Arabidopsis thaliana: one gene and its partner. The protein of the gene in region 1 interacts with the protein of each later gene in a pairwise test. Each region holds a gene or a part of one and is shown on either strand. Other genes may lie near its edges.

Region 1 (4,527 bases):
CTCATCATCATCATCACCATAATTATCATCCATGTGCATGGAATATGAATCCCATAACTCTTGTTTAACATTATCATCATGAAAAACTCAACTTTATGGTATCCACATCATCATCATTATCAATGTCATTGTCGTCATCATCATGTGGGGATCACTATACCAAGAGTCTTTTTGTTAAGTTTTTTTTTTCTTTATTGTTGTTATTATTTTTCAATGTGTTATTTAGAGTAGATAAGTATCATAGTGATGATGATGACTTGTCAGCCCCATGCATGGGTCCCGTTTTATGTTCTTCTGTTGTTTTTGGTTTCTCTTTGAAGGTTTTTTTATGATCTTAAATTAGAGCCTAGAGAGGGGCATCTCCTTTAGAACCTTTAATTGGAGTTGAGTTCTTTACCATGTTTTGGTGAAAGATTTTGTCGTTTGCTATCGACAATGTTATATATAAATTAGATATCTTTCTTTCTTTGTTAATATTAGCTATGTCCATCTTTGGCTAATTATGTATTTGGCAAATCTGCTACTAAATATCATTAATTTAGCCGATTTCATGCAAAAATAAATAAGCCCTAAAATGCTGAGTTTCCAATTCTGAAGACATTTTCAACCATATCAATCGATCAATGTCATATATTCACATATCGAAGGTGTACATATAAAGGATTGAATCCATGATTTTCCTTTGAACTCTTTTATGAATAGTTTTGAATGTTTTTTTGTTTGATTATAGTTATAAGATATTTAATAGCGGTGAGTGAACGAGACCAAAAAAAAGGTGATTAAATGTAATAAACTTTAAAACTATGGGATATCGAGAAGAAAATAATGTAACGAGAAAACATCACATTAGACTTCAATAATGCTTTTAAATATAGAAAAAGGATTGATAGTAGAAGCAAAGATTTTTATATTGGTATGATTAGTAGTAAAACAACACGGTAAAAAAAAAACAGTAGGCGAACCAAATAGTTAGATTTTGATTGGTAATCTCGTATGGTTGCAGTATTTTACCGTTCTAAACTTCTAATTATTACTAGTGACGAAAACGTTGAAAAACGAGATTTTTAAAAAAAAGTTGTAACTATTTTTTTTAACAAAAAAAAGTTGTAACTATTTTGGTATTGTTTATTGTTTTTTTTATATACCTAAAACCTCTAACCTTGTTTTTTACCAGTCTTACTTTTGACATAAATAAAAATAGTGGTTAGAAATAGTTTTCAGTTCTGCTGCTTTCTTACCCTTTTTATGTCTTTATGATTGGTAATTTGGTATCAATCGGAACAAACTAAAATTGTTAATTGTAGTCCTTAGTCCTAATAGTTCGGTTATCCATTCGGTTTCAGTTTGTATCTATTCGGTTTCAACTTTTTCGGTTCTAAAGTTTAGTATTCATTTGGTTATTTTGAAAGTTTGATTCGTATCGGTTTTTTCAGTTTTAAAATTTAATATCCATTCTATTATTTTGCTTTGAATATTTTTGGATATTTCGGTTATTTTGGATATTTTCGATCATTTTTGAATATTTTCGGTTATTTTTTCGAGTATTTTTACTATTTTATATATCTTTTCAATTATTTTTAATTATGTAGTCTAAAAATAAATAATATTTAGTATCCATTTAGTTTTGGTTCTTTCGGTTCTTTCATTTATAGAATTTAGTATCCATTCGAATATTTTCCAATTTTTGGTTTGCTTTGATTTAATTAGTTTTGCTTTGATTTTGATTCGGTATATTCGAGTTGGTTTATTTGTCCACGCCTAGTAGTCCTGATCATGTAAATGACAGAAAAGCCCAAACGAGATCCAAACCTATAAAGGCCCAATAAATAGTTCACAAACTCATGACCACTACAATCCAACGACGTCGTATCATCTCGCTGACGTAAGATAAGCATCGTAACTAATTAAAATCCAAGTAATAAGTTTGGGTGCCGTGCAGGTAACAATCACTAAACCCTAAATCCATCCTCTCTGTTTCCTTTATATATATTCTCTCCTTTTTTCATTTTTTTGATCCTCTTCTTCTTCTACAATCAAAATTCATTTTTTTTTCCTCTGATCATCATCGAACCCTAGTTTCGTCTTTTGGGTACGTTTGATTTCGCCTCTCCACTTTGTCAATTTCGAGTTTTTGTGGTTTGGGTTTTTTTCCCGATTTAGCCTAACAGATAAAGTTTCGAGTTTTGTTTCTCTTAATCATCGTAGATACTAACCGAATCATCATGGAGAAGAACTCCTTCAAGCTTTCTAATCCTCTGGGTTAGTTTCCTTGTTTCTTCTTTTTTACTTTTTGCAATTTCTGTAGGGTTTTTGCTTGATTGATGTCACTCGATAAGCGTTTAAAGGATAGTTGTTTACTTCTTTGGTTTTCTTCGATCTTTTGGGCTTTGGATTGTGTTACGATTATGATCTTTGTTAAAGGAACTCAAGTTTTGATTAGCCTGATCACGAGTTTGTTGGTTCTGATTCTCGATCTCTGATATTGGTTACTCTGTTTGTATTCTCCATTGATTTACATTAACACGATTAAGTTATTAGACCTAGTTTGTTGTTGAATCTATAAAGATTTAGTACTTGTGCCTCTGGAATTTTCCTGGAAGTTACTTGAATTACATGTCACTAAGATGTGTTCATGTGTTTGTATAATCCGTTAGTTGTGACTGATTTTTTATGGTTTTGTTTTGGTTTCAGAGATGAGAATGGCTGAGTCTACTCGTATCAGAGCGAAATACCCTGAAAGAGTTCCCGTATGTTTTCTAAACTCTCACTTTACGGAACAAGATTTACAGTGTCACCCTAAGTTTCTAATTAGAGAACTCAATACAGGTGATTGTGGAAAAAGCTGGACAGAGTGATGTTCCTGACATTGACAAGAAGAAGTGAGTAATTTGTTTTACATATTATCTCTATCTCTCTTGTTGGATCATAATGGTATCAAATCACAAATTAGCTTTCAATCTCCTTTGAGTCTAATGGAAATGTGATATGATCCGGTAATCCTTTTAATCACTAGCTGATGAAATTTTGAGTCTAACTATAGTTCTCATTCTTCAAAACTTGTCCCTTGGTACAGTTTAGCAGTTTCTAGATACAGAGATTGAATTGCATAGCATTATTTTTTGCTGGTTTTGATGTTTTTTGCTGACACCTGTTTCTTCTCTTTAGGTATCTTGTACCAGCTGATCTAACCATTGGCCAATTTGTGTACGTTGTGAGGAAAAGAATCAAGCTTGGAGCTGAAAAAGCCATCTTTGTCTTTGTCAAGAACACATTACCACCAACTGGTAAAGGATTTTAACACTTTTTAAACCTTGTGTGAATCTTCTACTTCTATGGTTCATGTATAAATATGGTTTCTCTCTTTTCTGGTTCTTACAAACAGCGGCATTGATGTCTGCAATCTACGAAGAACACAAAGACGAAGACGGGTTTCTCTACATGACATACAGTGGAGAGAACACATTTGGTGGATCTTTCTACTGCTAATTACCTCAGCTTCTACGTCTGATCCTCTTGATGATTGTACATTCTCGTCGACCTTAATAATGTCATTTTACTTTCTTGGTTTAACCTTTTGAGCTCTCTTACTATCTCTTGCATTTGAAGATGGTATTTGAAACAAGATTCTAATTTGACTCTCTAGTTTCTTTGTTTTGTTTCCTCTGCATCTTCTCTATTGCCATTGAATAAAATAACCTCTATAGTAATATCATCATCAACGTTGATAAGTTCGTCTGATCAATTTACTAATTAGCTAAATTGTCTAAACCGAAGAAAAATCCTAAAATTGAATTAACCGAAAAAAACCAAACCAAACCAAGCACAAACCAAAAATTGAATTGGAAAATTCGAGACTTATATTATTCTCTTGGTTCTACGGACATGGACCGAGTATAGCTTCTGATCTTGCGACTGTTGCTGTCTCCGCCGCGAATCGTTCTCCTACCTTCGTCAACTACACCGGCAAGGTACGAAGCTTTTGTTATACTCTAATTAGATTTGTGGTATCTTCGTGAACCTTCAATTCAATTTAGGGTTTCTCAATTCGATTACAAAGATTCGTACTTGATTTGTTTTCGAATTGCTGGACGAGTTTGTCTTATTGGGAAATGATTTTAGTAAATCGTTGAAGAGAAATCAGGAAAGTTGAATACTTTCTCTCTTAAAGTTTTGAGCTTTTTGGATTGTAAAATTGGACTAATGGAGAATTCAATTCTGTGTTAGAGTTGTTATCATGAAGAAAGGTTTGATGCGATGGGATGATGATGATGATGATGATGATGAAGACTCTTCTGAGGAATCATCATCGTCTTCTGCTTCTGATTCAAATGTGGATAATACAGAGATTGGGGAGAAGAAGAAGAAGAGAAAGAGCAAGAAGCCAATAGGTAGGAGAAAAGCTTCATTGTTTTAACTTTGTGAGAGCTCTTTTATGTAACTTTGTTTTTTTTTTTACGGTTGCAGCGAGGTTTGCGAAGAAAGATAAGAAAGCTTTTGACTATGAATCTCTGCAGCAGCATGGTTACA
Region 2 (4,225 bases), on another chromosome or scaffold:
GGATTTCAAAGAAGTGAGTATAGATGTTGATCGTTTCATGAAAGATATTGAGTCAATGCTAGGAAGCCAAGGTCGTGACGAACAAGCTGATGATGACAGTGATGGCTCTGAAGGATCTTCCATGGACATGGATTTTGGTATTTCCTAAACTTTTTTTTTTTTCCTAATGGCAACATATACTGATCTATAAGGTGTGAAATGTGATGTGGGACTTACTAAAATGTTATGGTATGCAGATGACGTTGAAGATGATAGCGAAGGAGAAGAATCTAACGAAGATGCTAAGGAAAGCTTTGAGGAATCCTACTATGGAGCAATGAATGAGGAACTGAAAAACTCAACTCTTGAGAAAAGCTTTGAAAATGTGAATCAACAACATTCTTCTAAGCAAAACGAGGTAACTCTCATAACTAGACTCAGTGAATTTAGGAGCTTAGATTTTGACTGTAATGGTATTTATGAGATGAATGTAATGTCTCTGCAGGAATCATCAAAAACTAGAGATGAGAAGGATGATGAGTTTACACCAGTTGATGCAGATTTTAACCTTGTTAAGAACCTACTTGAATCCTACTCTTCACAACAAGGACTTCCTGGTCCTGCTTCCAATTTGCTCGGCCTCATGGGTTTGCAGCTTCCAAAAGATTCCGGCGACAAAAACTGAATGCTTATCAAAATGTAGTTTGTTTTTGGGTTCACTTTGTTTAATCACATAATCGTGAGTAACGTTGTTGGGGAAGTTTTTGTGTTGTCGAAAGTAAGCACATGACATGTGATTTCAAGAAAACAACATATGTACATGTACATTACTACTATTACACATCATCAAACCACAAAGGAACAAAAGAAAAAAGATTTTTTTTTTTTTTCTCCTTTTCCAAACCCAATTTATCTCGACCACAGAAGTGAAGCAGAAACGCTTTCACAACCGGAAAAAAACACCCACATGAAAAATATCCAATACTCAAATCATATCATATTCATCTTCATGTTGCTAGGTCTCCATCAGCATCATCTTTGTCCATTAGTAGATTCTTGAGATATGACTTGGTGTTTTGTTGTCACTCGCTTCAAACAGAAAATCAAAAGAAGTCTCCAGAAGCTATATCCACGAACGAATCTTGCTTCTTCTTTTTTTTTATTTTCCTTTTCTTTTTTTTTTAGATTATTCGATGCTTAAATCTCGATACTGAAACAACAGAGAACTAGTCTTATTCTTCCCAATCTCCAATTTATAGCTTCCCCATAGACGACAGCCACTGTTCCATGTTCTTCCCATCTGCAGTTTACATGTCATCAGAACAAAGAACAAATCAATTTACAAACAAAAGACTCAAACCAATTACTTAAGTTCTTAAAAGAACATGCAGATAATTTACATGATAGCTATTAATGAATGATGATGATAATGGAAACAAACATTACCAGGAGCAGCAGGAGAGAAGAAGCCATTCGGAATCTGATTCCCTGAACCATCCATAACTTTCTTGTAAAGAGGAACCAAAACCACAAAGCCACCACAATCATCATCCTCAGCTTTAAAACCTGGTCCATGTGGCTCAACCCAACCAATTGACCACTCTGGATCATCAGGTTCAGGAAACACCACATTCCCAATCTTATCCTCTTCCCCTCCTGATCCTGATCCTCCTCTTCCAATCCATCCTCTCTTGGTCTTCTTCACTGATGAAGAGGAAGAACCAGTCTTACTAGTAGTAGTCTTCTTCAGTGAAGGACTAAGTGAAGAAGATCCTTTAGGAATTGACTCTTTCTTCTCTCTATCTTTAGTGTTACTACCACCACACAACCACCTCGGAAGACGAGGAAAAGAGACTGCCATCTTTTTTAATGTTTCCTTTCTAAAAAAAAAACTCCGAACCTCTCCGGAGAAAACTCTTATCAATCAGCCATCATGTATCGATGCTTTATCTTCTACTTCAACCTGTTGACAATTTAAAAATAAAATCAACCATCAATAAAACAATCATAATGTCAACATAATGATGACACTGACCAAACACAAAGACTTTAACACAAATTTCAGATGCCAATAGAGAAAATCTCTTATCCATTAATACTGTTTATGATGTGATCGATTAGATTAGATTAACTCATCAACATAATATCAAACACGAGATTTTATGATTAAAACAGAATTTTTTCTTCTCAATTTCAATTTTCAATGAAATTTCAGGATAAACACAACGAAGATCTCAATTTTTTCTTTTTTAAATTTTCACTCGATGATTCTTCATCAATGGAAAGTAATTAATGTTTCATCAGATCGGTGGTCCAATTAAAAAAAACAATCGCTAAAAAATAGAAAAGCGAAAGCGGTCGACAATTGAAGAAACAAAGGATGATCATCAAAAGCCTCCGATGTCCGTCAAAAGACGGCAAGGCTTCGCCGGAAAATTCGGCGGAAATAAATGCGAAAAAATCGGAAGGAAGAAGAGAGAAAAATCTCCGGTAATTGCGAAACGTAGTAAATTACCGAGAAAAATAAGAAGGAAGGGAAAAAATCAAATCGACGATCGAAGAAAGCGTAAGAATAGCGTCGTTTCGTCCGTCGTCGTCTCTGACTCTCTTTCTCTTCTTCTTCTTCTTCTTCTTCTTATTCTGACTTTTCTCTGACTTTGTACAGAGAAGCTCATCTTCTGCTCTGCTTCATTTATATTACTCTCTTTTCTCCTTTTTTTATTTCTTTTGTTTATTTATTTTAGGCCGTTTTAATTGGGCCTCGCTTCTGCAAAGCCAATAAAGATTGATCCGACGGTTGGTAGCGGTTTACTTGCTTTCGTGGCAACTGTCGGTCCACCGTTCTACTATACACTTCATAACACTTGATTATATCCCATTCAGAAAAGTAAAACAAAAAACAAATATCAGGGATTTATACGTAATAAATCAACATTTTATATTTAATAAAACAAATCGATTTTCTTGTTAATTTTAATTTTTGGTATAATGATGATACAAAATCTTGGAATTATCAATCGGAAATAATTAAAGTTCATGCATTTCCCCCGATTCAATCATCTGGTTTCTCTATGGATTTTTGTGTAATTATAGAGATGCTTAATTAAAATCTCTATTAAAATCAATGAAATTTATACTACTCGTATATCACAAGGGTCAAGGATTGATCTTAAAACTTTAAGTACTTTATTAAAACATCACCCACCCATAATAAATGGTATGAGTAATAAATATGTTAATATATTTAATTAATTAACAACGGTCGCCAAAAAACCTGCAAAATTATGGGTAACAGACGTCATAAAAAGAACAAAACAAAGAAACAAAATTCTAGGTTCCTTTTTCCAATAGGTCGTCAGCTTTTCTTGGCCACAATTCAAGGCTCTACTAGTGCTAATTTATTGTTCATAAAGTTTCACATCTTCAATTCTCAAATATTAGAATAAATTCTTATAAGATGATTACAAAATAAAAATAGTGCATTCATCAGAATCTGAAGGTTGATGAATCTGAAGGGATTATTACTAATAAGCATATTCTAGACACTTGTGGTTGTTAATAAGGGATTATCCACTTGATCTTCTTTACTTATTTTTGATCAAATTATCATTATCGCTACAATAATTTGTAATATTCATTCACAATCAAATTTCTAATCAAACTATACTCTTTTTATTAAGCCTCAAGAACACAAATCTAAACACAAACTAGCCTCATCAAGAATCAGAGTTTTTATTTTTATTCTTATAAGAAATATCTAAAGATCAAGACTTTAAAAACTAATCAAACATGGCACATACAATCAGGAGCAGGATAAGTATAAATCGACTGTTTTGGTTTCCTTAACCGGATCTGTCCTTGTCTATTCACATGTCCTTCACCAAGCGCTTGCTGAAAATCTACCCAAGTGATGCTTTTGTTGAGGAAAAGCTGTCCTATTAACGCCATGTTTGGTCTGATCGTCTTGAGATTCTCGAATGTTCGATGACCAACAAGAGCGTTGTGCATGTTTCCAGGTGATGCGGAGATGAAAATGTCGCTGTGCATACTAACGTAGTAGTCAAGTGCAGCTAATAAAGAAGCTTTGCCCTTGATTCGAGCTCGTTCTTCAGAAGATGCAAGACTTCTTTTGTCTTCCATTCTTGGGAATACTTGTCTTAATGTTGAGATTCTAGCTTCTCCTCCATACACCTGTAATTCAAAAATACGTGATTAATATTCTGCTACATCACATTATAACCAGACT

The links.
Region 2: the proteins of ATG8B (region 1) and AT5G65480 interact in a two-hybrid assay, tested with the Arabidopsis thaliana proteins (one large-scale study listed by BioGRID).

What each region holds. Positions count from the first base shown.
Region 1 is NC_003075.7:2,327,622-2,332,148, reverse strand, and holds ATG8B (Ubiquitin-like superfamily protein), read left to right. Parts: upstream 1-1,558; 5' UTR 1,559-2,089; exon of another isoform or gene 2,090-2,205; 5' UTR 2,206-2,222; coding exon 2,223-2,259; intron 2,260-2,691; coding exon 2,692-2,747; intron 2,748-2,826; coding exon 2,827-2,879; intron 2,880-3,165; coding exon 3,166-3,284; intron 3,285-3,382; coding exon 3,383-3,486; 3' UTR 3,487-3,707; downstream 3,708-4,527. Other genes in the region: AT4G04614 (uncharacterized protein), read left to right, coding at 4,235-4,388, 4,465-4,527. UniProt on the Arabidopsis thaliana protein: Ubiquitin-like modifier involved in autophagosomes formation. May mediate the delivery of the autophagosomes to the vacuole via the microtubule cytoskeleton.
Region 2 is NC_003076.8:26,174,442-26,178,666, reverse strand, and holds AT5G65480 (uncharacterized protein), read right to left. Parts: upstream 2,647-4,225; 5' UTR 2,495-2,646; exon of another isoform or gene 2,287-2,494; intron 1,943-2,286; 5' UTR 1,841-1,942; coding exon 1,426-1,840; intron 1,280-1,425; coding exon 1,233-1,279; 3' UTR 750-1,232; downstream 1-749. Other genes in the region: AT5G65490 (suppressor-like protein), read left to right, coding at 1-137, 237-397, 485-664; AT5G65470 (O-fucosyltransferase family protein), read right to left, coding at 3,763-4,170.